Linked DNA regions of Sus scrofa. The protein of the gene in region 1 purifies or fractionates together with the protein of each later gene. This does not show direct contact. Links are inferred from orthologs where the notes say so. Each region holds a gene or a part of one and is shown on either strand. Other genes may lie near its edges.

What was found.
Region 2: the proteins of MYO1E (region 1) and OSTF1 purify together in Homo sapiens (co-immunoprecipitation; 3 studies listed by BioGRID and IntAct, counting the BioPlex papers as one, with this or other methods). This does not show direct contact. The link is inferred for Sus scrofa from reciprocal best matches to the Homo sapiens genes MYO1E and OSTF1.

What each region holds. Positions count from the first base shown.
Region 1 is NC_010443.5:112,862,359-112,866,179, reverse strand, and holds part of MYO1E (unconventional myosin-Ie), read right to left. Parts: intron 3,813-3,821; coding exon 3,698-3,812; intron 3,489-3,697; coding exon 3,319-3,488; intron 1,237-3,318; coding exon 1,091-1,236; intron 1-1,090. UniProt on the Homo sapiens protein: Actin-based motor molecule with ATPase activity. Unconventional myosins serve in intracellular movements. Their highly divergent tails bind to membranous compartments, which are then moved relative to actin filaments.
Region 2 is NC_010443.5:228,176,474-228,180,294, forward strand, and holds part of OSTF1 (osteoclast-stimulating factor 1), read left to right. Parts: intron 1-1,672; coding exon 1,673-1,736; intron 1,737-3,396; coding exon 3,397-3,450; intron 3,451-3,821.

The DNA.
Region 1 (3,821 bases):
GATGCAGCCTGAAGGCTGCTCTGGCAAGAAGCAGTGGTATCTTCAGAAGGATGCACTCAAGGAGGAAGCTGCTGGGCTCAAAGGGGCTTTTCTTCCTCTTTTACTAGCTTCCAGTGCACTGACAGGATCTCCCTCATAGGAGGGAGCTTAGTCTAGGAAGTATTAGCATATGAAGAGTTAGGGAATCTCAGCCTGCAAGGAAGCCCCTCTGCCAAAAGCAAGCCAGAATGCTGACAGGAAGAGCAAGTTCCCGCCTGTGAACTTGGAGCTGAAGGGAGCATCTGGCAATGACTCCAGGATTGCAGATTATGGAGACCAATCCTGGGCATTAACAAGAGGAAGGGCTTCAAGGACTCCAAGAAAACTTCCCTTTTAGGACACTCAGAGGTCACAGCTGTCATAAAACTAAAAAAGCTTTACTGATGACCTCAAGGCCACCTCTGCTTGGCCTTTCCTGGTGAAATGGGGTAGGTCTTCAACAAGAGCAAGGCGGGCTTGACGCTTGGCCCCACCGCAGTAATAGCAATTATGCTCGGCTTGTTTCACATACTAGGTTTATCTCTCACATTTTATGAGAACAAAGAATCCGAGGATCCCTTGATCAGAGGAGCAGATCAGAAGGCACCTTTTCTTGTCATCTCATTCCCTGAGGAATAAGATCGCCCTGAGACCCATGAAGGTCAGATCTTCCTAGGGAAGAAGAGGAAACTCAGTTCTTGTCATTTTTTTTTTTTTTTTGTCTTTTAGGACCGCACCAGCGGCATATGGAGGTTCTTAGGCTGGGGTCTAATTGGGGCTGTAGCCGCCAGCCTACACCACAGCTACACCAAAGAGGGATCCGAACCGTGTCTGCGACCTACACCACAGCTCATGGCGACGCTGGGTCCTTAACCCACGGAATGAGACCAGGGATCAAACCCGAAACCTCATGGTTCCTAGTCGGATTCATTTCCACTGGGCCACAGTGGGAACTCTTTCATCACGATTTTGATTGGGGAGCCTGCCTAGGCCCTTCCCTAGGCTGTGCGTGGAGTAGCAGAGGGTGATGCTGAGGCCAGAGGGGGCTGCCCCGCCCCCACCCCCCACTCACCTGAGGGACACGGACAAGATCCTCTCCATCTCAATTCTCCGCTTCAGCACCTCCTTCACCAGGCCTTTGTCTGGGCCTTGTTTGACCTTTTCTCGTCCAATTAAGTACAAACACTTGGGAGTAAGGAGCAAGTCTCGCTTGACACTCTGCAAGGAGAGGTGTGTTAAGAAAGGTCAAAGTGACAGCCGTCCACAAGATGGGCCTTTGTGCCAGGTGAAGGGAAGCTGTGTCAGATGGCAAAATTCTGCTACCTTTGGATGGCCACTCCATTTATCACCTAACCACATCTCTTGGGAGCAAAAGTGAGCATTATTAATGATTATTAGGTCAATGTATATAAAACCTCTGATACTTGACTCTCTTTGACTTACAAAAACGGCAGACTCATATGGATCCTCCTATGGTGTCAGGACAACAGGTGCGAAGGAACAGTCTGGGGCAAACCAAGGCATATGATGACCCTACTGCTACAGAATGTTTCTCACACAGGAATCCCTCAAGTGTCTGCCTATGTAATTTTTGTGAGTCCATGAAATTTTCACCTTTTAAAAATTGGTAAATTTTAATTTCACAGATAATCCTTAAAAATATAACATAAGCATACTGTGTTACACGCAGACACTACTGAGAGCCCATGTTTGCATTCAACTCCACCGCTAGAGCAGCTGGCACCACATTCAGGTTGTAAGGAATGATTTGGTTTCAGCAAAACATCATCATCCTTCTTGCTAAATGAATCTTGTTATTTATTTCATTGTTTTCCTTTCCTGACCAAAAAACAAACAAGAAACAACACACAAAAATGTTCTTAATGGGTCCATGAGCTGTCAAGATTTCAGATTTCACTATGAGGCCAAGATTTTATCAGGGAAAACAAAGTGTCTAAGGGAAGAGGTTAAAAAACAAAAACAAAAAAACAGTCATCCCGAGTGGCTACATGAAAGTCCTGCTTAGTCTTTCCCTCAGGGGAGATGGGTAAACACCTTGCTTGATACTCTGAATCTTTCAACCCAGTGATTCCACACCTATCAGTTTATTTTAAAGATCTGTAAAGACCAGTGTAAGGATGCTCACTGCATCCTTTTACTTATGATAGTAAAAAAAAAAAAAAAAAAGAAAGAAAAAGAAGAAGCTCATAAGAAACTGGTTTAACATATCGTGAGAGCCCCCATCATGGCTCAGTAGTAATGAACCCAACTATACCCATGAGGACACGGATTCGATCCCTGGCCTTGCTCAGTGGGTAAAGGATCTGGCAATGCCATGAGCTGCAGTGTAGTTCGCAGATGTGCTCGGATCTGATGTTGTGGCTGTGATGTAGGCCGGCAGCTGTAGCTCCAATTTGACCCCTAGCCTGGGATCCTCCATATGCCACTAGTGTGGCTCTAAAAAGACAATATATATATGTAAGTAACTGTTGGATACTATGCAGCTAAACAAAATAATTCATACTGACACATCTATTAATATGGAATGTTCTCCCACACACTGTAAGAGAAAAACAACCCAGGACATAAACCAGCCGGGAAAGGTGTGTGCATAGAGAAGTTCTAAGGGATTAAATACAAAATGTTACCAGCGCTTGTTTCTGGGTACGGGTGGTTATTTGTCTTCTGGCTTCTCTGCATTTTGTAAATTTTTCTACTGTTTTAATAATCAGAAAAGCAAAATTGTATATTACTTTTACTTTTTTTTATTTTTTGCTTTATATAGGGCCACAGCCTCGGCCTATGGAAGTTCCCAGGCTATGGGTTGAATCAGAGCTGCAGCTGCCGGCCTACACCACAGCCTCAGCAATGCAGGATCTGCATCTGCAACCTATACCACAGCTCACGGTAACACCAGATCCTTGATCCACCAAGCAAGGGCAAGGACTGAATGCACATCCTCATGGATACTAGTTGGGTTCATTACCGCTGAGCCACGATGGGAACTCCCTATAAGTTATTTTTAAAACTAAGGACCCTATCCAAAGACAGAAGCAGCAAAAAAAAAATAAATAAAAATAAAAAAGAAATATATAACTAATGACCCTGGAGTTCTATTGTGGTTCAGCAGATTAAAGATCCAGCATTGTCATTTGCAGTGGCTTGGGTCACAGCAGTGATGTGGGTTTGATCCCTGGCCCAAGAACTTCTACATGTGATAAGCAGGGCAAAAAAAAACCCCAAAACCCAAAACCCTAAGGACTCTGATGTGTGACTCAGAGGCGGGCAGTCAGCACATACCTTGAATCTCCTGTCATACTTGGTCACCGTGTCTGCAAAGTCAATCTTCTCTCTCTTGCCTACAAACTGCTGGAGTTCCGGGTGCTCTTCCATCCCGATGTAATCTCCGATGAAGTTTCTGTTAATACTGTTTCTCCTTCTCTCCTTCTTGTTCAACAGCAGGTCTGAGGCTGCAATTCCCAAAAAGGCAGAAGAGGGTCAGTTTCCCAGCAGCAGGAGGAGGAAAGCACTCAGTGTGGAATCACAGAGAGAAACGCTAAATGAACACAATTTTTCAACACACGATACTATATGGGAAGGAAAATGAACGCATGACTTCATTTAAGCTCAAAAGTAATTTGCGATTTTGTAAATACATGAAGCAAAGTGACTACAATACCCTCTTCTCTCATTTGGACGTATTTCTTCCGGGCCACAAATTTCCTCCAAGTTTTTTGGATCACCCGGGCATACCCATCATATTTTCTTTCTCTCATTTCTTCTAGAAGAAATAGCTGTGAAGG
Region 2 (3,821 bases), about 120 Mb from region 1:
ATTCTGCCTTTTGTCTATGAACTTATTTCTGGGTAACCTGAGCGCTGATGAAGGAAAGTTTTAAACGAATATCCTAGATATTCAAATCAAGAAGGGATGATGAAAAGTCACCATTTTGCACCCCTTAAGAAAAAATGGATCCCGGTAGTGCTCATCAGTGGTTACTAATGTTACAAAAAGAGAGAGCACCAGACATTCTGTTTCTCCTGATGGAAAAATCAGTGCTACAGATGGAACCGTCTTGCTAAAAAAATTGAATCTGAATCTAATTAAGCCTCTAGAAGTAATGTCAATTTATAGGCAATACAGGGGCACAAAGGAACAGGTTTTTGGGTTTTTTTTTTTTTTGTTTTTTTTGTTTTTTTTTTTTTGTCTTTTTGTGATTTCTTGGGCTGCTCCCAAGGCATGTGGAGGTTCCCAGGCTACGGGTCTAATTGGAGCTGTAGCCCCCAGCCTACGCCAGAGCCACAGCAACGTGGGATCCGATACACGTCTGCAACCTACACCACAGCTCACGACAACGCCGGATCGTTAACCTGTTAACCCACTGAGCAAGGGCAGGGACCGAACCCGCAACCTCATGGTTCCTAGTCGGATTCATTAACCACTGTGCCACGATGGGACTGTGCCACGACAGGAACTCCTGGAACAGTTTTGATAACAAGGATACAATGAGCAAAATCCAGACTGTTTGAAACTCTTTAAGACAAACTAGTTTATTTGACAAGTATATTAAAAGGAATGAAAAAAAAAAAATGAAAGGGGAACCTATAGGCTAAAAGAGATTGAAGAGGCAAACAAATCCATCATATTGTAAGGCCGTTATGAGACATACTGGAAAATTTGATATTATAGCTCTTTGGTAGTATTAAGGAATTAGTATTGAAAAAATTTAAGCTGTGATAATGGTATTATTATTATTATGTCTTTGAAAAAGACCTTACCTTTCAGAGATTCATATTGAAATATTTATAGATAAGATAATATGAAGTCTAGAATTTATTTCAAAGTAATCTGGACAGGGACGTTATAGGTAAGGATATATAAGAAATAATGTTGGCCGTGAGTAAATAATTCATGCAGTTGGGAAATGGGCATGAGTAGGTTCCTTATACTATCTTTCTACTTTGGTATGGGCTTGAATTTTTCTATAATAAAAAGTTAGCAAACAACAAAGTTTAAATAAACACACACACACATATATATATATATATATTTTTTTTTTTTTTTTTTGAGACTAAGAGAAGTTAGACTCTGGACAAAATAAATCCTGTAGATGATCAAACTAAATATAATTTTTTTTCCTTCTCTTTCATATTATTTCCATTTGATTTGTTTGACTGTTGAGGCTCTCCAGCAAAGTTTATTCAATTTGTTACAGGCAGATGTGTGTATATTTAGACTTTAGTGATAAAGGGAATCAGTAACTAGGGAGTGAGGAAACTTGATCAATGTGACCAGGGGCAGTGGGCACTTAGTAGAGCAGCAACTCTGTATTTGAGTTGGAAGTGTGTTGTATTTTACCTAAAACAAAACAAAACAAAAATATTTTCTGTTCTGCCCTGTGAAAATGGAAAAAAAAAAAAAAGCCACATGGTTTTCAAAGTGATGGCATGTGACCAGAACATCACTATTTAGGTGCCACCTAATAATCTAACTCTTCTTTCACCAGAGTGATACCAATTGGTGGAAAGGCACTTCCAAAGGCAGGACTGGACTGATCCCAAGCAACTACGGTAAGCCTGGCTGCAGTGGCTTTACTTGGGGTGTACTTTGTGTACTTTCATTTGTCTGATTCCTGAGGCCTTTCTGCTTCCTGCTGTGGCAGAGAAATCATTGGAGTCATTGCCAGGCTCGGACATTTTCTACTCTGAACCTGCCCTTAATAAAGTGGTCGTGGACACTGGAGGTACTTGAGCTTGACTTAAGAAAATGCATTGTAACATTCTTGAAAGAACCTAACATTTCCAAGGATAAAATGCTCATGGTTTTATTTCCTTCAACTCTTAGAACATTTTTCTTCTTCTTTTTCTTTTCCTTCTTTTTTGTTTTTCAGACTAGTCCTTTTGTGATGAGGTAACCTTGCTGTGTATATTAATTAATGTTTGGGGCAGTGATGTTCTTTAAATGAGTAATAGAGCAGTTTAGGGAGCTTGAGCCATGAGATGGGGCCCTGGCCATGAGGCTGGTTCTAATCAGAAGGGGGATAAAACAGAGTTTCATAAAAATCAGCAGAGTAAAGTAAAAAGCGCATAGGATTGATAAACAAGGGTCTTGGGTTTAAAACCTTCTTCTTCCACTTTGTAACAAGGGACCTTAGTTAAGGAATTTAACTGCTGCTCCTGGGACCATTTCTCTATGTGTCTAATGAGAGGGTTTGATTTAAATCACTTCTAAGATTCTTTTGAACTTGAGCATTTAGATACATCCTTAGACCAATAGGGCTGACATCAGGCACCAGTTCCAAACACTGGAAGGGGACTTAGGAAATTTCAGGAAGGTACGTAAAGCTCCTGGGGGAGTGGAGAGGAGGAGAAGAAGGGAGAGGGGAGGAAAATGAGTGAGGTTGAGGCCTGAGTCTCAGCACAGGGGTCCCACTTACCAGTCTAAGGGCCATACCATTCTGGATTTTAAGACTTCAAATGTTTCTACACTCCTCTAACCTTTGAAATCCCAAATAAACTTCTACTATGCATCCCAGACCCAGCTGGTTACAGACACTGAGGGTATAAAATATTCCTCTGTTGCTTTAGATACCTCGTAGCCAAGGGAGTGTCCATAGCCCTTTGTGTGGGAGGGGTGGGTCTGAAGTCACTTGGACAGCAAGCTTCACATGGTCACTCTGACTGACTCTAGGACAACAGTGAACACACCTTCTGTAGAGGCAAGTATAGGTGTGCTGATTGCCCTTTCTGAATGCAGAAAGCAAAATATTTCTCCTTTACCCCATTCCTCATATGCACACAAGGGAGACAATTCTTTTTAGCCATCTTCAAAGCAGGATGTTTTTATAGTATGTAAAAGTCAACATCAAATGCTTTCTTTTGCAGTTTCCTGACTAAATTTGTGAAACACTTGAGTAAACTGGTGTGCAGACCTTGGATCTGTTTTTGATCATACTTTTTCTGTTGTTGTTTTTATTCATACTTCCAGTTAATTGCTATGTTTGTTTCTGTTTATCCTCACAGTTAATTGCTAGGTTATTGTTTTAGCCTGGTTTCATTTGACACATAATTCAGCTTCTTTCAAAGCACAAAACATCATTTTGATTATCTGTCGTTTTTTTTTTTTTTTAAATCCACATTAAGTAAGGGAAACTGTACGATGGAAAGTCGTGGTACTTCTGAAGCTGGGTGGCCTCTCAGCACTGGTTTTTCCTTTTTCTTTTCAATCTAGTGGCTGAACAGGCAGAATCCATTGACAATCCATTGCATGAAGCTGCAAAAAGAGGTAGGTGTGACTCTTTTTTATTGTGATACACAGTATGGTAAAACACACAGATGTTAATTATCTAGTTTGATGAATCTGACAAATATATACACCCATGTAAGATCAAGATCAAGATCTGGAACATTCCTATCTCCCAGAAATGTTCCCGTCCCAGTTAAATCCTTGCCTTCCCCAGAGGCAGTCTTTGAACTGCCTGCTTTCACTTTAGAGAAATATGTGGTTTTAATTTCCAGAATGCCAGTCCACAAATATTTGGGAGTACTTTACCTGCCATGTGCTTAGTGGCAAGTGGAAAGGCATGGTCTATGACTCCCCGAGCTCAGAGTCTGGAGGAGGAGAGACATGTGTAGCAGATCATTACAAGACCTTGT